Linked DNA regions of Arabidopsis thaliana. The protein of the gene in region 1 purifies or fractionates together with the protein of each later gene. This does not show direct contact. Each region holds a gene or a part of one and is shown in the gene's direction. Other genes may lie near its edges. The genes, in order: AT3G02270, AT5G67630, AT4G19006 and EIF2.

Region 1 (5,731 bases):
CGAATTAAATCGAGAAATCTTAGTGGAGAACCAAATGTTTGTACCAGAACAACAGGGCATCTGCCAAGCCAAATTGATCTTGAACCAATGTACAGTGTGTTCTTCTTCTTCTAAGAGAGATGGTGAGCTTTCTACTTCACAGTCGTGCGTAAGAAGAAATCCATAAGGAGAATAAGATTACTTTCACTGTGGATTCGCCCATACTTAATTGAGAAGAACAGACTGCTAGGTTTTTTTTTTTTTTTGAAAAATACAAAGTCAAACTTGTAAAGTATACAATACGAATTAAACCACTAAACCAACATCTATATAACCGTATTTAACCAGCAATCCACGTATCAGAACAGAAATGTTGGTTTTTTCTTGTCTTGTTGATCTCTTAGCTTAATCCACCAAAAGACACAACAACACAATAAGTGGAAGACATGCAAAATTAGTTACAGAGCATAGTGCCTTGTAACTTGTAACTCGAAAATAAGACAAAAGTATCTGAAAAAAGATGGCTAGCAACATACATAGATGGACATTTTTGTCTCCACCAAAATCACAACTGTAATCATCTTCTCAAAATCAAAGGTAGAGTAGTTAAATCGTTTCAGACCTTACTCAAGTTAAGAAATACCTTGTCGAATATCTCAGAGGTTCGTTTTATTGTCATCTAATTTCCGATTATATCCCAAGTGTTGCAAGGCTTTTATTGAACAGCTCAAGTGGTTTGCATTGGTGGAAACATCTGTGGGACAAGTAAGAAAATTTGAACCTCAATTGTTCAATTTCATTCTTAAATGGAGCCTCAAATGGGGAACTTTTAGTATATATGTGTCTTAGAAGAAGCAGAGTTTACGCATGTATTCATTTTGTTATCATACTGTTTTTATGTTAAATTAGTAACAAAAGTTTTCATACTCTCTGCTTATGCCAACATTGGTGGTTACTTATGATTCCTATATAGGTCAGCAGAAGTATGTGTCTCATGTTCCTTGGTCTTCCAATGTGTGAAAGCGGTATGCAAAACCAAAAGACTTGGCGGTGGCTTTGAAACAAGATCAGCTTTCATTGCTGCCGCAGCTTCTGGTCCTTGTTACCTATTAAATCAACGATCGTGAAACTCACACTGGACAGAGATGTGGATAAGATGATAACTTGTCATCCCCATAGTTTCGTTGGTATCTCTATATTTCTCTGTTGATAAATTAGGATTGTTATTTTCAGTTGCATGTTAAAACAATCGAAGAAGCTTTTTACATGGTTTTGATGAAATGACAATAGATTTCGGTTCGGCGTACATAGGTTTTGAAATTACAAGTGATTTCTGTTTGGTTTAGATGGTTGTGAAATGAAAATTAATTTTGGTTCGGTTTGTATTAGAATAGTACGGTTTTGAGAAAAAAAAAACAAAAGAAAAAGTCACTCGAGGCTGTTTTGGAAACAAAGCGAGTAGATGTAAAATAGGCATGATTTTGTGGGTTTACCCCTACAGAAATCGACGACACGCGCTCAACGCGAGGTTGATGCGAGTGGGCGTGGTCCGGAGCGCGTGACGCGAAGTTGGTGCGAGTGGGCGTAGTCCGGTGCGCTCTGATTGGTTAGAAAAATGAAAATAGTTGTGTAGTAGCTCCTCCACTTCTCCTCTATTATTTCGTTTTTCGTCATTCTTTAGTTCTGAAAGTTGTGTAGTTTTAAGATTCAATTGAATCTTATTACGAGGTTTTTGGTTATTTTGAAATCATTGATTACTGTCACAAAAAAAAAATAGAAACTAGATTTTGAGATACTAAAATTTTTATTTTCATTTTGTTCTGCAACCATTAAAACTAGATTTAGCTGAGCCCCTAAAGAAATCAAAGTGAGTTGATATGTTTTCTTCACTAGAAAAGTTTTTGCCACTTTTATGACATAGTTATCGAGTATACTATAACATTATACAATATTTTTAAAAAATAGCATAACAATTGGTTTATACCATAAAAATTAGAGATGAGCTCTAACAAAAGTTAAGCTTATTAGAAAAAACACTAAAAGCGTAGAAGATTACTTTCATGGTGGATTCGCCCAAACTTGAGTTGAGAAGAACAGACTGCTAGGGCTTTTTCTTATAGTTTTCGTTTTTTTTTTTTTTTTTTTTCCATCTCTTTTAGTTTTCGTTTGGGACATTTAATGTCTATAATTAATAACAAACGATTGGGCCTTAAATTTAGCTCAGGCCTGGAATAAGCCCATATAGTCCTCGTTTTTATGTCACTCTCAAAACCTCGAAAGTGGTTTCTATCTATCACTTGGGCTTTTATTACTTGTTAAAACAAATTTGATCCAAATCTCAAATGGAACCGACAAAATAGAAAATCCGGTTCTCTCAAAAGGCCAAACACGTGACGTTTAGGAACAAAAAAGACGTTATCACTGCAAGAAGTTTTGACTTTGAGAAAGTCTTTGAATAATCAAAACAGAGTTTTTCAAATTTCCCAAGTCTGAAATGGTACTCGCACCCTGCAGACATTTTCGATCAAAATTTTCAGAGAGTGAGAGAGAGAGAAGGGAGATCAGATAATGGCTTCTCGTAAGAAACGTGCTGCGAAGATTTCAGAGGATTCAGAGGAGGAACAGAGTCGCCGTCAACGGTTACAAGCCATTCTTCTCGCTGACAGTTTCGCCACGAAACTCCTTCCCTTAACCTTAGAACGCCCCAATGTCTTGTTACCGCTAGTGAATATTCCCATGATTGATTACACCTTAGCTTGGCTCGAATCTGCTGGCATAGAAGAAGTTTTCGTCTTTTGCTCGATGCAAGTCATCGATTATCTGAACAACTCTGACTGGTACTCGCACAAAGACTTTACGGTAAAAACTATAGAGTCACCGCAAAACTCCACCAGTGCTGGTGATGCTTTGCGTTATATCTACGAGCAGCAGATTGAGACGTCTCAGATTCAAGGTGACTTTGTTCTTGTTAATGGATGTATTGTTAGTAACATGCCCCTGACGCAGCTGATTCAAGAACACAGAGATAGAAAAAAGAAAGATGAGAAAGCTATCATGACTATGGTTATCAGACAGTCACTCATCACCGATCATCAACTCTTCATCGCTGTAAATCCTTTAACAAAACAGCTTCTTTATTACGATGAGGACAACATCTGCTTCGATAAATCATTGCTGGATCGTAATCCATCTGTTTTGTTATGTAGTGATATGCAGGATTGTTACATTGACATATGTTCTCTTGAGGTGCTTAGTCTATTTGTGGATAACTTCGATTACCAACATATGCGTTGTGATTTTGTGGAAGGTGTTCTTGCTGATGACATTATCGGTTACAAGATTTTCACTCATGAGATTAGCTCGTGTTATGCTTCTAGGATTGAAAATTTCAGGAGCTATGACATGGTGAGCAAGGATATAATCCAGAGGCGGACATTCCCGTATGTACCGGATATGAAGTTCAGCGGAAATCGCACTCTTAAGCTCGAGAGACAAGGGATCTACAAGGCTTCTGATGCTACTCAGTTACCATCTGCTCATGTTGGAGCTTCCTATGTCATTGGACATGCCACAAATATTGGGAGTGGGACTAAGATCTTGAACTCTGTTATTGGGAATGGATGTTCTATTGGATCAAATGTGGTGATCCAAGGCTCATACATATGGAACAATGTTACGGTTGAAGATGGATGTGAGATAAGGAATGCTATTGTATGTGATGAGGTGAAAGTGTGTGCAGGAGCTATTGTGAAACCTGGTGTTGTGTTGTCTTTTAAGGTTGTAGTCGGGAGGGACTTTGTTGTACCTGCATATTCACAGGTTTCACTACTCCGACAACCAATGGAAGAAGACAGTGATGAAGAAAATCTTTTGTCAGGTGTAGATTTGCAAATGGAGTCTAAGCTTGGTCTTGATGGAGCAGGTTACATATGGCGCCAAGCGTGTGAAGACGAGTGGAAGCATTCTGTTCCACCAATCCCCAAAGATAAACTTGCTGAGATCATTAAGGCCATTGACGATGATGACACGGATGATGAAAGTGTTGTCACAACTTCCGGCGATGCTAATACTAGTATTAACAATGATCTCTTTGACTTTGAGAGAGAGGTTGATGGCACCTTCTTAAGGGCTGTCGAAGAGAATATTGTAGCCGACCTTGCGGTTTTGGAGATAAACTCACTCCGGTTGTCATATAACATGGAATCTGCACATTGTGCTGGTGCAATATTCTACTCTATGATGAAACTAGCAGTTAGTACTCCACATAGCTCTATTAATGACTTGTATAGAAACGCATCGAGTATCATTACTCGATGGAAGGGACTTCTTGGGTTCTATGTAAAGAAAAGTGATGAACAGATAGAAGTAATATCGAGATTGGAAGAGATGTGTGAAGAATCTGCTCATGAGTTGGGAACTTTGTTTGCTCATATTTTACGTTATATGTATGAGGAAGAGAATGACCTTTTGCAAGAAGTTGCAATCTTGAGATGGTCGGATGAGAAAGCCGGAGCTGATGAATCTGACAAAGTTTATCTGAAACAATGCGAGCCATTCATAACGTGGCTCAAGGAAACATCTGACGATGAAGATGGCTAATGAATTGGTGGTAAACATGTGTTCGTTGGCTCCCAAAAGGAACATTCTGATTGATTATTTGCATCGAAGAGATTACTTTGTCTTTTTTTCCATGTGTTATTCTAATGATGTGCTATTTTATATCTCATCCATTACATGTATGAGGTATATAAATACAACTTTTATGTTTTTGTAAATGTATTATAGGAAGCTTATTACAGTATTTCCCAAAAAAAAACAATTATAGTTATCTAACGAATTAGAGAAATTTAACTAAGTGAAAAATAATAAAGGAATGATCTAAATATTAATTTTTGGGCTGATTTTGAAAGAAAAGAATAAGGAAATGAAAACGAAGAAGAAGGAACATCGTCTTCTCCACAGAGTCCTCTTTCACCGCCTTTGATTCTTTACTTATAAACCCTTACCTTCCTCTTCCTTTTGTATATACCTATTTCTCTAGAAACCTTTTTCCTCATCGAACTCTTCTTCTTTCGCCTCGCCAGAAATGGCAGATGACTTGGCGAATCTCTGCCGATTTCTCTTCGACGACACCGCCTTTCCCTCTTTGTCGTCTTCGGCATCTTCAGATCTCTTTTCTCGCCGTTTACGCTCCGATGATTCGATCAAGCGCGGTCTCCGTTCTTTCTATCTCCTCCTTCGCTGGGGTGTCGCTCCGATCGGCGGAGACGATGCTGATTCCTCTGGCAAGCTACGCTTTGAGACATGGTCCGATTCGCAGCTTCAAGCTCTTGTTTCGATATCTCAGGCGATCCTTCTACTATCTCGATCTCTATTAGGTACTGACTTGACACTGAATCAAGGTTTAGGTCGGTATCAATTTAGCTGTCCATTTCTAGTTCGTCTTCCACTTTCTGAGCTTTGGCATCTGCTTTTTTTGTTGCTATCCTAGATGAGTTACTAGTTATTTTCCATCTGAACAGTGATGATCTCGAATCATTTTCCTTACTGTTTTTTTTTTTTTGGTGTATCTTAGTGGACCAACTCGAACCAATCGTTTTGGGTGTCATCCAGGAGGTGATGGAATTCTCTCTCAGCTTCTTGGAGAAGTCAAGTTTTAGACAAAATGATCTCAAAATGGAGGTTTGTTCTTTATTATTAATTTGTGATAGAGATTCAGTAGGGAAGTCTTTAATGTTGGTCTTATTTTGGT
Region 2 (5,730 bases), on another chromosome or scaffold:
GAAGTGTGTTTTCTCGTCCATGTTTTGATGTCTTATATGGGCGTTTCAATGGACTTTGGTGAAGTGCAGATAGTGAGAGTCTAAAATGCTTTTTGTTTTGTCTATTTTGCTCAACATCTGGTGCCTCCATTTGAATCTTTATTGGAAAGTGGCTTTGTTGGCTGGGAGACTTCTACATTTTTTTGGCTGCTGTGGGATACTTTTTCATTTGTGGCTTCTAAAAAGAGAAGAGAAGATGTGTTTATCAAACACTTGGGGTTCTACGTTGGGGTCGCAACATGTCTTAGGTGGAAGGATAATGTGTTGAATTGTAACGAGATCAACACTTGTGGACTTTTCGGAAATCATACTATTCACGAGAACAGTCGCTTTTTGGTTGTAATGAGTTCTTTCGACGCCGTACCTTTTGTCGGTGACTTGTCAAAGGTCCACATTTTGCACCACCACCAGGATCTTGTCAACATCAAGTCAGCATTGAGTGGAGCTTCTAAATGGGTAAACAGAACTGTTCGTAACCCACAATCGGATTTCTGTTACATGTCCACAATATTTATGTGTTGGAGTGACGTTGCTTACACAACAAGCAAGCTCTTGACATGTGAACATGAATGCAGTCAATGTTGTGTTCATGTGAAAGTTACTTGATTTCAGCTTGGATATGCAGGCAACAATTAAATGGAGAGGAAAGATCTGCGAGGTGATGAGTTTATCCAAAAAGACAGAGGATATCTTGGTCACATGTGTTCAAGGAATCTTGGAATTCATTTAACAAAGTTTTTATATGGAGGAAGCTTTAGCAAGTCGCTCTTGAGGCTGAAAAGGAAACGCCATAAAGTTCTTAAGAGAAAGTATTATGAATTGGTGGACAAAGGATGTCTTCAAAGATTTCAGATTTGGGTCGAATCTTTCTAACCCAGAAGGGCTGATGCAGCGTATCTCAAAGACGAACGTGTTGTTCGTCCCGTTTGGGCTGGCTCGTTGTTTGGGTTTTGTTTCTCATGGGCTTCATGTTTATTTAGCCTTTTAGTACTTGTATTCGTTTGCTTCTCTTTTATGTTAGTTTTTTTTTTTATCTTTCTCTTATTTGAAAAGACGTAATTTAGTATTGTAATTAGTTTTGATTATTGATTAAAGAGTTTTAAAGAGTGTTTTGTGTAAAGCCTATAAAAAAGGACTCCTAACCCTAAGAGCTTGTGTTCAAGCCCTGTAAGGAGGACTTGCAAAACCTTGTCGATATCGATCCCTTAGAATCGATCTCGATCTTATCATTTATTGCTTCTTCGTCAAGTTTTGACGTTTTAGCAAGATCTATTCGTGAATCCGACTTTTCCTGCAATCATGGAATAAGAATGTGTTTTTTTTTAAAATGTGTTTATTAAAGAAAGAAGGAAAAAAAAAGTTTTAGTTACATTTGACGTGAACTCTTTGACTTGTGTGGGTGCAATACTATATCAAAAAAATTGGGAGTAGTAATACAGTTACCACTAAAGTTTAGGGACATAATGAACAAAAAAAAAAAAAAAAGTTACACATCTTATGAATTAGACGGAGATTTCGCTGCCAAGTGCCGACGATGCGACGGCGAGAAGAAAAGCGTCGAGAATTTCACGAAGCTCTTCTTCAAACACTGTATCCTCCTTCATCGCCACCTTCTTCTCCTTCCTATTCTCCGCCTCCGGTATTTTCTCAATCTCTATTTGTGTCAATTTGTTAGTTCTCGATTGGGTTATGAATCGATAAATGTTCCCGCCATTGTTTCAGGTGGAGGTTGTTGATAACGAACCATTCGATGTGTCACTCATAAACCCAGGTACGATTAATGTAATCTTAACAAGTTATTTACACTTTGGAAGTCACATTCAAATTTGTTTATTATTCAGAGGATTACTTGAAAATCGATTCATCTAATCACGGAGAAGACAAAGAAATCGGAGACGAATTGGGGATTGCAGAGAAACAGAGTCGAGCGCAGAGAAAGAGGTTAAGGAAGAAGATGCTCAAAGAGGAAGCAGCTCGACGGAAGAAAGTCATCGGACCTTTACTTCCGACTGAAATGCTTCAGACCCATGATGAAAGAAGTGTCGGAGATGCTTGTGGGAGCAATGTTGAAGAAGAAGATTCTGACGGTGGCGAAGAAGAGGTTGATGGGAGCATTAGCAACATATGCTCACAACTTGTTCGACCAAATGCCCAAGAGAAGAAAGAAGGTACACACAGCTTTTGACTTTTTTGACGATATCCTTAGTTTCAAATCTTTTGGGAAAAATTCGTACTTTATCTAACTAGATTTCATAACACATGTACGTATTCAGATCAAGGGTTTGACTTTAATCAAAATCTACTAGCTCATCAAGTTGTTGTCTCATTGTTGGTCCTGTGCAAATTACTCAAACGTTCTCTTTTGTGTATTAATTACATTACGCGTCTGACTCTTTATTTTTTGTTTGGTAGGACTAATCGGTGACAATGATAAGACGAGAAAAGTCAAGAAGAGAAGAAATGCTAAGAAACTGGCCAAAGAGAGTTCTAAGAATATCCAGGATGGATCCAATGCAATCCCTGAAATTCCTAATTAGGGTTCAAATTATCACAGACCTTTATCTAAGAGTTAATTACTTCATCTTTAATAATTCAAGGGTATATTACTAAATTTATAATTCTCGTCTATAAGATTTGTGAGTTCCTTTTATGCCCTTGTTAAGAGGATTTAACTCTTACATCGTCATTGCCATTGTGTAGCTTTTCTCTAAACCCTAAAACCTTAACTTTTTGCTCTTCTCCCTCCGCCTCAATCGCACGAAGACGATAATCGAATATGGCGGAACTAAAGCTATCAGAGAGTCGGGACTTAACCAGAGTCGAGCGAATCGGCGCACACTCACACATCAGAGGACTAGGTCTCGACTCTGCCCTCGAGCCGCGAGCTGTTTCCGAAGGTATGGTCGGTCAAGTGAAGGCGCGTAAAGCCGCCGGTGTAATCCTTCAGATGATTAGAGAAGGGAAAATCGCGGGTCGGGCTATTCTAATAGCGGGTCAACCCGGAACGGGTAAGACAGCGATTGCAATGGGTATGGCGAAATCTCTTGGCTTGGAAACTCCTTTTGCGATGATTGCAGGAAGTGAAATTTTCTCATTAGAGATGTCAAAGACAGAAGCTTTGACTCAGTCTTTTCGTAAAGCGATTGGTGTTAGGATCAAAGAAGAGACAGAGGTTATTGAAGGAGAAGTTGTTGAGGTTCAGATTGATAGGCCTGCTTCTTCTGGTGTTGCTTCCAAGTCAGGGAAGATGACTATGAAAACGACTGATATGGAAACTGTGTATGATATGGGAGCTAAGATGATTGAGGCTTTGAACAAGGAGAAAGTGCAGAGTGGTGATGTTATTGCCATTGATAAAGCTACTGGGAAGATTACTAAGCTTGGAAGATCGTTTTCGAGGTCTCGTGATTATGATGCTATGGGTGCGCAGACCAAGTTTGTGCAGTGCCCTGAAGGTGAGTTGCAGAAGAGGAAAGAGGTTGTACATTGTGTCACTCTTCACGAGATTGATGTTATCAACAGCAGGTACTTTTAACATTCCCTGAATTGTAAACATTGGTAATCATGATTTGGTATCTGCAATACCAATGTAGGTTGCAAAATTGAAGTTTTAGTGATTAGGTGATTGGGAATTTAGTTGATTTGGCTCACTAATTTCAGATGAGATGTCTCAAATTTGAGATTAATTCATTGCTTTATATGCTCTTGAAATTCTCAAGCTCATTTTCTTTAGCAGTGTGTAGTCAGAGCACTCTTTATAACTATAACTAACTCATCTGTTTGTGGTATCGTTAGAACCAATTTTGGTTGCGGAATTTAATGTTTGAAACATGATTGGTAGAACAAAAAAAAGTAACTTTGTGTACTTCTTCTTTGTTTGCTTGCAGGACACAAGGGTTTCTTGCCCTTTTCACTGGCGATACTGGAGAAATCCGATCAGAAGTCCGGGAACAAATTGATACAAAAGTAGCTGAATGGAGAGAAGAAGGAAAAGCAGAGATAGTTCCCGGAGTTCTCTTCATTGATGAAGTCCACATGCTCGACATCGAATGCTTCTCATTCCTTAACCGAGCTCTAGAAAACGAAATGTCACCAATCCTTGTGGTGGCAACAAACCGAGGAGTGACGACAATCCGTGGCACAAACCAGAAATCACCACACGGGATCCCGATTGATCTCCTTGACCGTCTTCTCATCATCACTACCCAACCTTACACAGACGATGACATAAGGAAGATATTAGAAATCCGTTGCCAAGAGGAAGACGTTGAGATGAACGAAGAGGCCAAACAGCTTTTGACATTGATCGGACGTGATACATCTCTAAGGTATGCGATTCATCTTATAACCGCAGCTGCATTGTCATGCCAGAAACGGAAAGGGAAAGTCGTGGAGGTTGAGGATATTCAGAGAGTTTACAGACTGTTCTTGGATGTGAGGAGATCGATGCAGTATCTTGTTGAGTATCAGAGTCAGTATATGTTCAGTGAACCAATCAAAAACGATGAAGCTGCTGCAGAAGACGAACAAGATGCTATGCAGATCTGAGGATCCACCTCTGTTTGCCTTATTTATCATGTTTCGTGGTGATATGTATGATTAGGATGTTGAACTCGGATTTATGTTTTTTTTTTTTTAAGTTGTGACGAGATTCGGTTCTAGAAAATGATTTAACCAAGTTCAATACAGATCGGTTTGGTACAAATTTGATTTTGTTTGGATTTGGTCAACTTATTTCGGTTCGGTTAGACTAGACTGTAGGAGATGGTTTTACTAAATTAGTCTGGCCCGTTAAGACTTTATATGGGCTTTAAGCCCAATATTGACGAGTATAGTGAATCTCTCTCTTATCATTAAATACATGTAAGCGTGTGTTGTTCGCAAAATTTGACACGCATGCAAGTCTCTACCATCAGAGTAAATTAATTACGAGTGTTCTCTTACCAGACTTCATCGGTTTTTGGTGGCGTGTTTTGGTGTAACGAATTTATTTTGCTTGGTCGGGTCAATTTCAACTTATTTAGTGAAATATTATCTAAATTTATGAATAAACGTGTGTCCTTGAATTTCTTGAATAAAGATTTCAAAACAAACGGCTTTGTAGAACAAGAGTTAATGATAGAAGGCCAAACAAATTGTTCCAAACTCATGGATTGAATTAATCTAATTTACACATCGCTTGCAAGTAATTAGAAAAAACAAACATCACACGCTGGTGAATCCAACCAAAAATATGCATTATAAAAAGTCGAACAAATCTATTGACAGTAAAGAGTCGCAGTGTCTTTAGGTACTCTGCCATTGTGACATCTGATTCAACTCGTCATGGGTCCCATACTACATTTTATCATTCTCACTGTTACCGTAACTCTGAATCAACAGCTTCCTTTGGAACAGCCTTTATTTGTAATAGTACTTTTTATTCTTCGAAACAATCGGATTGTGATATGATGCGGATTGTGATATGATGAAAAAAACAAAAAAACAATCGGATTGTGATAAGAAATATGTGAATGAATATTCAAATAAATCAAATCCATAAAGATTTTGTTATCAACTACACTTTAGTTCAAATAACATGTAAAATTGGACATAGTTTTACGTGTTGCTCGGATATCATTTCAGAGATTCGTATCACACATTGAAGCCATAAAAACAGCAATCAATCCATACATAAAACAAATTACATAA
Region 3 (5,729 bases), on another chromosome or scaffold:
TCTGTTCTTCGAAATCAATTAATTGCAATTAGTACATAATAATAGTGTTACAACTAAATTAATTATTTTACTAAACTATTCCGTCGTTGGTTTATTTCCCGATCAGAAGTAAATATTGATCGCTGCAGAATCTTAAACTCTGCTTCTCTCTAATGGCGGCGACACATCTTCACATACCGCCAAATCCTAAAACCCAAACGTCTCACCAAAACCCTCCCTTTTGGTTCTCTTCTAAAACAGGAATCTACACCAGCAAATTCCCTTCCCTACACCTCCCCGTCGACCCAAATCTCGACGCCGTCTCCGCTCTTTTCTCACACAAACACCACGGCGATACAGCGCTCATCGATTCCTTAACCGGGTTCTCAATATCTCACACTGAGCTACAGATTATGGTTCAATCAATGGCGGCTGGGATCTATCACGTTTTAGGTGTTCGTCAAGGTGACGTTGTATCACTCGTCTTGCCTAATTCCGTCTATTTTCCGATGATTTTCCTCTCTTTGATCTCGCTTGGTGCTATTGTTACTACCATGAATCCTTCGAGTAGTTTAGGAGAGATTAAGAAGCAAGTTAGTGAGTGTAGTGTTGGATTAGCTTTTACTTCTACTGAAAACGTTGAGAAGCTGAGTTCTTTGGGGGTTAGTGTGATTAGTGTATCTGAAAGTTACGATTTTGATTCGATTCGTATCGAAAACCCGAAGTTTTACTCCATTATGAAAGAAAGTTTTGGGTTTGTACCAAAACCGTTGATTAAGCAAGACGATGTAGCTGCAATTATGTATTCATCTGGAACAACTGGAGCTAGTAAAGGAGTTTTGTTAACTCATAGGAATTTGATAGCATCAATGGAGCTTTTTGTGAGGTTTGAAGCTTCTCAGTACGAATATCCGGGATCGAGTAATGTTTATCTAGCAGCTTTGCCTTTGTGCCATATCTACGGGTTATCACTCTTTGTGATGGGATTGTTGTCTCTGGGATCAACTATTGTTGTTATGAAGAGGTTTGATGCTTCTGATGTTGTTAATGTAATTGAAAGGTTTAAGATCACTCATTTCCCGGTTGTTCCACCTATGTTGATGGCATTGACAAAGAAGGCAAAAGGAGTTTGTGGTGAAGTGTTTAAAAGTTTGAAGCAAGTTTCTTCTGGAGCAGCTCCTTTGAGTAGGAAGTTCATTGAAGATTTCCTTCAGACTCTTCCTCATGTCGATTTGATTCAGGTCTCTGAATTTTACTTTTGGATGTCGTTTTAGAAAACTGAATTAAATGTTATTCATTCATAAACTCAATAAGAAGTAGAATCTACATTTTTTAGAAAAATTTGACATCTCTTCCCAAAAGAAACAACTAAAATTGATTTAACGAGGCCATGACTTTTTGACTCACACTATTATTTTCTTTACATTTAGCTGAAAGTGTGTATAAAATGGATCACATTTTGTTGCAGGGATATGGAATGACTGAATCAACTGCAGTTGGAACACGGGGCTTCAACTCGGAAAAGCTTAGTAGGTATTCTTCTGTGGGACTACTGGCTCCTAATATGCAAGCCAAGGTAGTAGATTGGAGCTCTGGTTCTTTCCTTCCACCAGGAAACCGAGGAGAGCTCTGGATACAAGGTCCCGGTGTCATGAAAGGTAGATAGATTCTTCCTACTGTACTTCTTTACCAAAATAGTTGAGATTTTCCTTCTCAGTTCATGAATAAAGTCTTTTGTCAATGGTTCAAATCACTGAGAAACACTTGCATCCTAATAAATGTAAATATAGATTGGATCTTCCAACTTTCGTGGGGCTTATTTGGTGCTTGTGTTGATAGATTAGGCTTATTATCTTGTTCTTGATTTTGTGCTACATATTTTTATGGAACAGTTTTAATTTTACTTGGAGAGAATCTGAACACCGTTCATTTGTCTGTCAGGATACTTGAATAACCCAAAAGCAACTCAGATGAGTATAGTTGAAGATAGTTGGCTACGTACTGGGGATATTGCTTATTTTGATGAAGATGGTTACTTGTTTATTGTTGACCGTATTAAGGAGATTATAAAGTACAAAGGCTTTCAGGTAAAGGAACAGCAGTTTCTCTTTCAGCCAACTCTAAATTAGGAAATATTAATTCTTTGCATTTATGGTTTTTGCAGATCGCTCCAGCAGATTTGGAGGCTGTTCTTGTTTCACATCCCTTGATTATCGACGCTGCAGTAACAGCGTAAGTTCGAAAAAACAAATCTTGATCATTTACTAAACTAGTTTAATAAGTGAAAGATACTGCAAATCCAGTTTTGGAGAATTCGACAGAGTCTGTTACTCTACTGAAAGTATCCAAACTTTCCATTTCAGTGCCCCAAATGAAGAATGTGGAGAGATTCCGGTAGCATTCGTTGTCCGGAGACAAGAAACAACACTTTCAGAAGAAGATGTAATAAGCTATGTAGCTTCTCAGGTTAGGTTCCCACTAATTCAAAATGGCTTTTCCCATTTCAAAACACTGATCATTAATGTAATACATTATTATACATTACGTGTTCTAGGTTGCACCCTACAGGAAGGTGAGGAAAGTGGTGATGGTCAACTCTATACCAAAATCTCCAACTGGGAAGATATTGAGAAAGGAACTAAAGAGAATTCTTACAAACTCTGTTTCTTCAAGACTATGATTCTTTCTTCATTTGTTTGGTAATAAGTAGCAGACAGAGAGATCCACTAATATAGCCTTCATAACTCAATTCATTGGTTTTGTAGCATCAAAAGAAATAAACAGACACATTCTTTGATTCTCAGTGAATAAAGCATTGTAACCCAATACGGAAACAAAAATTCTTTCTGAGCCCAAAATGTAATTTTAGCCTTAGTATTTTATTTACATAAAAGTCCTTTTAATCGTTGGCTATTGCATTTATCGCCCAATACTTGTCTTTGAGCTCAAGAAATATAGTTTACTAAAAGGCTGGGTTTTTCTGGATTTCTTACTCCCAAACCGATACAAGATCGAAGCTTTGCCTTCTGTTTCTTCGAAAATCTACCATGGCTGCTCTACAATACCTTGAATCGCAGAAAAATGCGCACCCAGAGCTTGGTGAGTGGTACAATTCGCTCGCAGATCTGTACCAGAAGAAGCTCTGGCATCAGCTCACTCTTAAGCTCGAGCAGTTCATCGCTCTCTCTGTCTTTCAGGTCAATCTCTTGAATTTTCATCGTTTCGTAGTTCTTCTGTGTGATTAGGGTTCATAGATCTCGAGAAAGTTAATAGGAGTCGTCATGTTAGACTTGGGTTTATAGAGAGATCTGAAGGATTCGTTCCGACTCTTAGGTGATTTTTCAGATTCATTGAAAAGCTTTGTATTGGTGAATTATCGCACTTCTGTGACCAAAGCTTTCGAATATTTTAGCTCAGAGATACCCAAAAACTCAGCTTTACAAGGTTTACAGATTTGTTAATGACGTGTTTCCCCCTGTTTATGTTCATAATCTTTGCAGGCTGGAGATGCTTTAATACAGCTTTACAACAATTTCATCACTGACTTTGAGACGAGGATCAATCTTCTGAAGCTTGCGCATTTCGCTGTTGTAGTCTCCCGACAGTATCCTGAGAAAGAAGCTGCAGTTAGTTATCTTGAAGGAGTGATTGAGAAGCTTAAAGCTACTAAAGAGTCAAGGATAAATGAACCAATTAGCTATATAGAAACACAAATAGCTTTGTTCAAGCTTGAGCAAGGTGACCAGAAGGAGTGCAAGAAAATCTTGGACGATGGAAAAAGCCTGCTTGATAGTATGACTGACATTGATCCATCAGTTTATGCCAACTTCTTTTGGGTCTCTTCTCAGTACCATAAAGTCCGTCAAGAGTTCTCTGAGTTCTATAAAAATGCTCTTCTTTACCTCGCTTATACGTCTGTGGACTCACTCTCGGAATCATTTAAGCTGGTACGTCCCTCTGAATGTTCTAATCATTCATATATGATATATGTAGTCGTTACGTTACCAAATGGTCTTTTAGCAATTTTGGATAAGTATTAGCACTCTATGAAAGGAAACTTACAGTGAAAAATGCTTTATCTCTGTAAATTGCTTTGTGTTCCAATCAAAATGTTAATATCATATACTTTCGTTTCTTTCAGGATTTGGCTTTTGATTTGTCGCTTTCAGCTCTACTTGGGGAGAATATCTATAACTTTGGGGAACTGTTAGCCCATCCAATTGTAAGTTTCCCTTCATCCTCCAAATTAGCAAACCACAGATTTATTCACCATTATAGATAAAAGAACACTGACATGTTATATATGTTATGGCAGTTGAAAAGTCTGCTTGGAACAAATGTGGAATGGCTTTACCACATTCTACAAGCATTCAACCACGGAGATTTAGTTCAGTACCAAGAACTCTGTCGTGTGCACAATGCATCGTTGAGTGCTCAACCAGCACTGGTTGAGAATGAGAAGAAACTATTAGAGAAGATCAACATTCTCTGCCTTATTGAGATCATTTTCAGGTATTCATTCTCTGTAGGAGTCATCTTATACCCATATACAGATGAAAACAAACTTAGTACTTAACTTGTATATAACATCTTTGCCACAGCCGACCTGCTGAAGATAGGACCATACCTTTGAGTGTCATTGCCGAGCGTACTAAACTTTCAATCGAAGATGTTGAGCACCTTCTCATGAAGAGCTTATCGGTGAGTACCTTTTTCTTTCCTCTCTCTTTCTCTCTATCTCATTCTATCAGTAACATTAAAAATCTAAAGAAGATTGGCAAGACGCAGACTCGAAATCTTCTTGAATGTGTGATTCTGTATTGGTTGATTGTGAAAACTGAGGAGAATGAGTTATTGCAGGTGCACTTGATAGAGGGAATACTAGATCAGGTGAATGGAACAGTTTACGTCTCATGGGCGCAACCGAGGGTGTTAGGAATACCGCAGATCAAGTCATTGAGGGATCAGCTAGACAGCTGGGTCGATAAGGTTCACACCACATTGTTATCTGTTGAGGCCGAGACACCTGATCTTGTTGCAGCTTAAACTCTTCTTTCCTCTTTTTTCCTTCACTGTTCGTTTAAGCTACAGATTGTAACATTCTCTGAGGATTAAATGCAACTTCCTTTTAAGTTTTTAGGTATTACAGTTATACTTTTGAACTTTGTTCTCCACAGACACATGAATCTATCCTATTAAGTTGAGTTTCATCGTTAGTGTTGCCTTTAAGGCTTAAGCCTATTTGCATAACAAATGGTCCAACTTTTGTTATTAGACGTGTGAAAAACTCATAAATCTCAAATAGTGGAATGAATCCAAATTGTCAACTTCTGAAATGAAAAGTGTAAGGGTAAAATAGTCAAAACATATTAAACCCCAATTATCACCATCGTTTCGTTTCAATCAAAATTTTCCGATTTTGAGATTTTGAAACAGAGCAGTCAAGTCTCAAAGACTCCAGCTCATCTGTCTGCTTCGTAAGCTGCTCGCTCTCTAAATGTTTTGTCTTCTGGGGAATAGATTTTAGGGATCATCGGTAGATGCTGTTGGATTGACATAATCCAGATCTGATTTCTTCTACAAAAACATAGCTTTCTTCTCTGGGAACAATAGATTTTGATTGTTGTTTCTGGGTTTTAGATTTCTAATGTTGGGGTTTTGGTGATTCGATTTCTCAATAATGCTTCAAAATCGAAAATTGAATCGGTTAGAGCTATTTTGGGAATCTCTTTGCGTTAATTCGAATTAGC
Region 4 (5,744 bases), on another chromosome or scaffold:
CTTACCAAAAACGAGAAAATATTCGATATTTCCTTAGAAATCAGATTACTGAACATTCGACTAATCATCAGGCATTTACCTTTCATAGAAAACAGTTCAAAAAGCAATATAAAGCCAAAAAACGAAAAAAAGATTATCCTGAAATTAATCCACAGTACTGGTTTTTTTTTTTTTTAAAAAGGAGACCGCGTTTCTACGCTGACTTTCAAATCAGTCGCGTCGGTATTATTCCACACGCCTTTTTTCTCGTCCCCATCCTCTATCCACATTTCTCTCTATATATACTCTCCTCGTATCCTAAACTCATCCTCAAATTCAAAATTTAACACACAAACACAAACACACACACCAAAAAAAACACAGACCTTAAAAAAATAAAAATGGTTGATATGGATTGGAAGAGGAAGATGGTATCATCAGATTTACCAAACTCACCTAAGCTTTCTTCAAAGCTTCACGTAACTATTCCATCACCGTTCAAAATCGTCCCTGTTTCATCTCCGATCTCATGTTCAGCACCTGCTCTTTGCTCTGCTTACGAGCTTTACCTTCGTCTCCCTGAGCTAAGAAAGCTCTGGTCATCTCGTGATTTTCCTCAATGGACATCAGAGCCGATTCTCAAACCAGCTCTTCAAGCTTTGGAGATCAGTTTCAGATTAGTTTTCGCCGTTTGTTCTGATACTAGACCGTACATCAACCACCGTGAATGGAACCGGAGGCTAGATTCTCTCATCACGAAGCAGATCCAGCTTGTAGCAGCGATCTGCGAAGATGAAGAAGAAGAAGGTATATCAGCGGAGGCTCCGGTCGGCGGTGGACGGAGTTCGTTGAGTTTGTTACCGCAGCTAGCTACGTGGAGGAGATCAGAGGCTTTGGGGAAGAAGATCTTATATACGATCGATAACGAGATGAGTCGGTGTAAGTACACGCTCGGACTCGGTGAACAAAACATCGCCGGAAAACCAAATCTCCGGTACGATGCGATTTGCCGACCAAACGAGATCTATAGCCTCAAGGATAATCCATACGCAGATCATATCGATAATCACGAGAATCAAACTCTCTATATCATTCACCAGATCCTCGAATCGTGGATCTACGCATCTGGAAATCTTCTGAATCGAATCGTCTCAAGTATCGAAGAAGAGAAATTCGGAAAAGCTTCAAACGATGTTTACTTGCTGGAGAAGATCTGGAAAATTTTAGCGGAGATTGAAGATCTTCATATGTTGATGGATCCGGAAGATTTTTTGAAATTGAAGAAACAGTTACAGATCAAATCGACGGGTAAAAACGATGCGTTTTGTTTCAGATCTAAAGGATTAGTGGAGATGATGAAGATGTCGAAAGATCTGAGACAGAAAGTACCGGCGGTCTTGGCGGTTGAGGTAGATCCAACCGGAGGACCAAGATTACAAGAGGCGGCGATGAAGCTTTACGCGAGGAAGACAGAGTGCGATAAGATTCATTTGCTTCAGGGGATGCAAGCGGTGGAAGCGGCGGCGAAGAGTTTCTTCTTTGGGTATAGGCAGTTAGTGGCGGCTATGATGGGAAGTGCGGAGATGAACGCGACGGCGAGTCAAGAGTCGTGTGACTCACTGAGTCAGATATTTATGGAGCCGACGTATTTCCCGAGCCTTGACGCGGCAAAGACGTTTCTGGGAGAGTTTTGGAGTCATTTGGGATGATTAAATTTTAATTTCTGCTGGTATAATTATTTAATATAAATTTAAATTGGTGGTTTGGTTTAATTTAGTTTGTAAGATAGTGAAATTTTTGGAACATTTGACGATCCATATTTGAATACAAATTCATTTTTATATGATTTATGAGATTTTTTAACAAACGATAACATTTACGAATATCGTAATCCATACTTTGAATTATCCACAAGTCGTAATTCAAATATGGGTGGTCTACTAACGAGTAACGACTAATCTATATGCTCTGACTAATCGTCAACAAATCACCACCTATCCTTCGTAGATGTTAGTGTATGAGAAAAACACAATTTCACACCTATCCTTTGTAGATGTTAAATTATGAGAAAAACACAATTTCACTTTCACAGTGTATAATATTCAAAATTCAATGATAAACACACACACAAAAACGTTATAAAAAACCCAAACCGACGATGAGTAACCAAACCGATGTATAAAACGACATTGCCTTTCTCTGTTTTTTGTGTTCAACAAATTTCATTAAGAGAAAGAAGGGAAGTGTTTGAATGAGTATTCATTCATTAGTCCAAGAAAAACATTTAATGGGCCTGTTTGTAGGCCCACTGGCACATAACCTATCTTCTGTATCATTGATGCCTTCTCCTACCTTCCTCTGACGCTCACATCGGAAACCCTAAATCTCCACTCTCTCGCGCCTTTTACCCCTTCTCAGAATCTTAACCATGGCGGCGACGAGCGAGCACACCATCTTGCAATTTGTGTCTCCGTCATCAACGGCGTCCGCTACAACCTCTGTACTCACGGCGAGGATCCACCCTCTCGTTATCTTTAACGTCTGTGATTGCTTCGTGAGACGTCCTGACTCAGCTGAACGAGTCATCGGAACTCTCCTCGGATCTATCTTACCTGACGGAACCGTCGATATCCGCAATTCATACGCCGTCCCTCACAATGAATCATCCGATCAGGTTCGAAATTTTGATCTCTAAATTTCTCCTCTCTCTCGATTCTCTATCGTTGGAGATCCTAGATCTTTCGTAGCTGAAGATTTGCTTGTTAGGATGTGAATGTTTATAGGAGTAGTGTTAGCTTCATACCCCAAGGTTGTGACTTGTGATAAGTTTTGAGGGTTATGGTTTGATATGGATGCAGGTTGCTGTGGATATTGATTACCACCACAATATGTTAGCTTCACACCTTAAGGTGAATTCAAAGGAAACTATTGTCGGCTGGTACTTCTCGTTTCCCACTCTTATTCTCTTATACTCTCATGATTAGTCTCATATCTTTGTCACATGATTCTTGTAGCTGTGTTGGAACACTGCATTAGGTAGTTTCTCATTTTGGAATAGTTGATTGAACAAGTTTATTGATTTGCAGGTATTCAACTGGTGCTGGGGTTAATGGCGGTAGTTCGCTGATTCATGATTTCTATGCTAGAGAAGTACCCAACCCAATTCACCTAACTGTGGATACTGGGTTTACTAATGGTGAGGGTACTATCAAAGCTTTTGTCTCTTCAAACCTCTCACTCGGTGATCGACAACTCGTTGCACATTTTCAAGAGATTCCTGTTGATCTCCGCATGGTTGATGCTGAGAGAGTCGGATGTGAGTATTCTATCCTTTTATTAGTAACCAATTCTATATTCAAAATACATAACAGTCCTCATTCCTCAATTGTCTAAGTAGTTCAGTTTCTGCATGGTTGATTCAGTATCTAGAGATTGTTTCCCTAATGATTGTGAATGAACCAACGGGAATAGATGATCTTTGGTTGTGTCTGTTCAGTAGATTAATGATTGTGACTGATTTAAAAACATCATTTTGATCCACAGTCGATGTACTTAAGGCAACATCTGTTGACAAACTCCCAAATGACTTGGAAGGAATGGAGTTAACAATGGAGAGGCTGTTAACTCTAATCAACGATGTCTACAAATATGTTGACAGTGTCGTGGTAAGCTTATGATATCCTTGACTGTCTATTATCGACCATAGATACATGATCTTTGATACAGAGTTTTAATGAAATTTCCCAGGGAGGTCAAATAGCTCCAGACAACAACATTGGACGATTCATTGCAGATGCAGTAGCCTCCCTTCCCAAGTTACCTCCACAAGTCTTCGATAACCTCGTGAATGATAGTCTCCAGGTAAAAGATTGTAAATTTCAAGCCAAAGCAAAACACTTTGTAAAAAACTAATGGTTGTTTCTTCTGTTATTTCAGGACCAATTGCTTCTGTTGTACCTATCAAGCATAACAAGGACACAGTTGAGTCTAGCGGAGAAGCTAAACACAGCTGCTCAAATGCTATAATAAGCTTGGAAACACAAGGTTTTGCTAAAAATGGGGAATGCTGCTTTTTTGGTTTCGAATTTTCTTTTAACAAGTTTATGTAAGAATCAGCTTCTTGTTGTAGTGTTCCTAAATTGCAAGTTTAAGAAAGACAAAATGCTCTGTTTCGTGAATTAAGGTCTTTAAAAGGGATTTTTAGTTGGTGTGCCTAATTTTAAACAATATACATATAAATGAGCTTTGTTCTTTTTTTATTTGCCACTTGTTGCGCCTAATCTTTATCACTGGAGATATTTATGCTCAGAATTTTGGATCATGGTCTCTCTCTATTAGCTATGTTACATTGAAAGAGTATAGAAGCCTAGAATTACTGCTTTCTCTTTTGCCGTATTGCGATTGGCCTATGTAGGATCTTACAAAACAGGCTTAATAGACACTATTGGAAACTAACTTCTAAATTGTAAACAATTTGCGATTTGCGGTTGCATATAATAATGCTAACTTTGGCATATAATAGACACTATTGGAAGTTAATATCTAAATATTACACAACATTTGCGATTGAAATCATTCAGCAATTTTTTCATTTCCTGCTTTCACTACACAACTAACACAATCAATTTTTTTACCCGTTTTTTTGTCTTTCTGATAAGCTAAATTAGAGCTACGGTTTATGTATCGGAATACATTAAACTGATTTCGCTGAATCCGAACGAGTATTTGAAGTTTTTGTGGTTAAAAACTTGATTATTTTAGTTTGTGTTGTAAAAACATGAGGGGAGTTTTTGTGGAATGGATTTTGATAGCAAATGTATACGCCTGTTTCTCTGTCAACATACGTACTACATACGATGTTATACAGACATATACGACCGTACCAGTACATGTACATATCAAACTTGAGAAGAATATGTGTAGGCCGGTGTGTAGATGGGTCAACATTAAAGACGTGCATGCACTTGTGATGTAAGTGAACAACTTGCATACATTGTTCACAGTAATCTAACTTATCATTCCACTTCACCCACCTTCACTCTATGGTTATTGGTCTCCATAGCCTTTGCCTTTTCTCTTTATTTATACATTGACGTAGTATCATACGTATTAGTGCTAACCGATAAATTAATATTCGAATCATTTTCATAGTAGTTGTGGGTTACATTTATTTAAAACCTGAAAATTTACGATAATTTGCAATAATTCTCATGATTTTATGAGACGGACTAAACATAACACGGAGAAAACACATACTCGACGACTAGCTACAACTATATTTATGAATTAGGGATGGGCACTCGACTTTTCAATACGATCGACATCATATTTTAGACCAAAATAATTCTTAAAACGCTCTTTGATAATATGTGTAACCAAAAGAGCCACCCATTCATATATGGTCCCGTGATATATTATCACATGATCTCTATTCAAACTATGACATGCATGGTCCCGGCTGTTTTAAACCTAACGATTCGGACAAGTTATTTTCATGCTACATGGATTAGTAATTGTAAGTAGTTTAAATACAAGCTAGATTGTTGAGACGTCTCCATATTGTTTCGTGCAGGTGCAAAAGACAAAACAAACGACAGGCATACGGAGAGACGTACATACGTAAAAGTCTGTCTAATATAGACTTTGTCTTGTCTATAAATATAATACAAAAACTGAAATATATAGTTGAAAAAAGAATTATTAATTATGTTATTGAAAATATATCATTACTTTTATCTTAGGTATAGCTTTTTAAAATTTTATTT

The links.
Region 2: the proteins of AT3G02270 (region 1) and AT5G67630 fractionate together in Arabidopsis thaliana (co-fractionation; one large-scale study listed by BioGRID). This does not show direct contact.
Region 3: the proteins of AT3G02270 (region 1) and AT4G19006 fractionate together in Arabidopsis thaliana (co-fractionation; one large-scale study listed by BioGRID). This does not show direct contact.
Region 4: the proteins of AT3G02270 (region 1) and EIF2 fractionate together in Arabidopsis thaliana (co-fractionation; one large-scale study listed by BioGRID). This does not show direct contact.

The regions. Positions count from the first base shown.
Region 1 is NC_003074.8:447,824-453,554, reverse strand, and holds AT3G02270 (Trimeric LpxA-like enzyme), read left to right. Parts: upstream 1-2,547; coding exon 2,548-4,578; downstream 4,579-5,731. Other genes in the region: BIG (auxin transport protein (BIG)), read left to right, coding at 5,066-5,387, 5,555-5,661.
Region 2 is NC_003076.8:26,966,392-26,972,121, reverse strand, and holds AT5G67630 (P-loop containing nucleoside triphosphate hydrolases superfamily protein), read left to right. Parts: upstream 1-2,721; 5' UTR 2,722-2,815; coding exon 2,816-3,564; intron 3,565-3,926; coding exon 3,927-4,587; 3' UTR 4,588-4,744; downstream 4,745-5,730. Other genes in the region: AT5G67640 (uncharacterized protein), read left to right, coding at 1,574-1,678, 1,762-1,810, 1,881-2,207, 2,452-2,576.
Region 3 is NC_003075.7:10,408,645-10,414,373, reverse strand, and holds AT4G19006 (Proteasome component (PCI) domain protein), read left to right. Parts: upstream 1-2,906; 5' UTR 2,907-3,026; coding exon 3,027-3,176; intron 3,177-3,479; coding exon 3,480-3,926; intron 3,927-4,120; coding exon 4,121-4,201; intron 4,202-4,294; coding exon 4,295-4,491; intron 4,492-4,580; coding exon 4,581-5,025; 3' UTR 5,026-5,226; downstream 5,227-5,729. Other genes in the region: AT4G19010 (AMP-dependent synthetase and ligase family protein), read left to right, coding at 153-1,220, 1,448-1,637, 1,921-2,066, 2,144-2,211, 2,343-2,445, 2,534-2,659. UniProt on the Arabidopsis thaliana protein: Acts as a regulatory subunit of the 26S proteasome which is involved in the ATP-dependent degradation of ubiquitinated proteins.
Region 4 is NC_003071.7:16,696,593-16,702,336, reverse strand, and holds EIF2 (eukaryotic translation initiation factor 2), read left to right. Parts: upstream 1-2,027; 5' UTR 2,028-2,407; coding exon 2,408-2,653; intron 2,654-2,837; coding exon 2,838-2,917; intron 2,918-3,065; coding exon 3,066-3,295; intron 3,296-3,522; coding exon 3,523-3,644; intron 3,645-3,726; coding exon 3,727-3,840; intron 3,841-3,915; coding exon 3,916-4,005; 3' UTR 4,006-4,296; downstream 4,297-5,744. Other genes in the region: HSPRO2 (ortholog of sugar beet HS1 PRO-1 2), read left to right, coding at 381-1,688.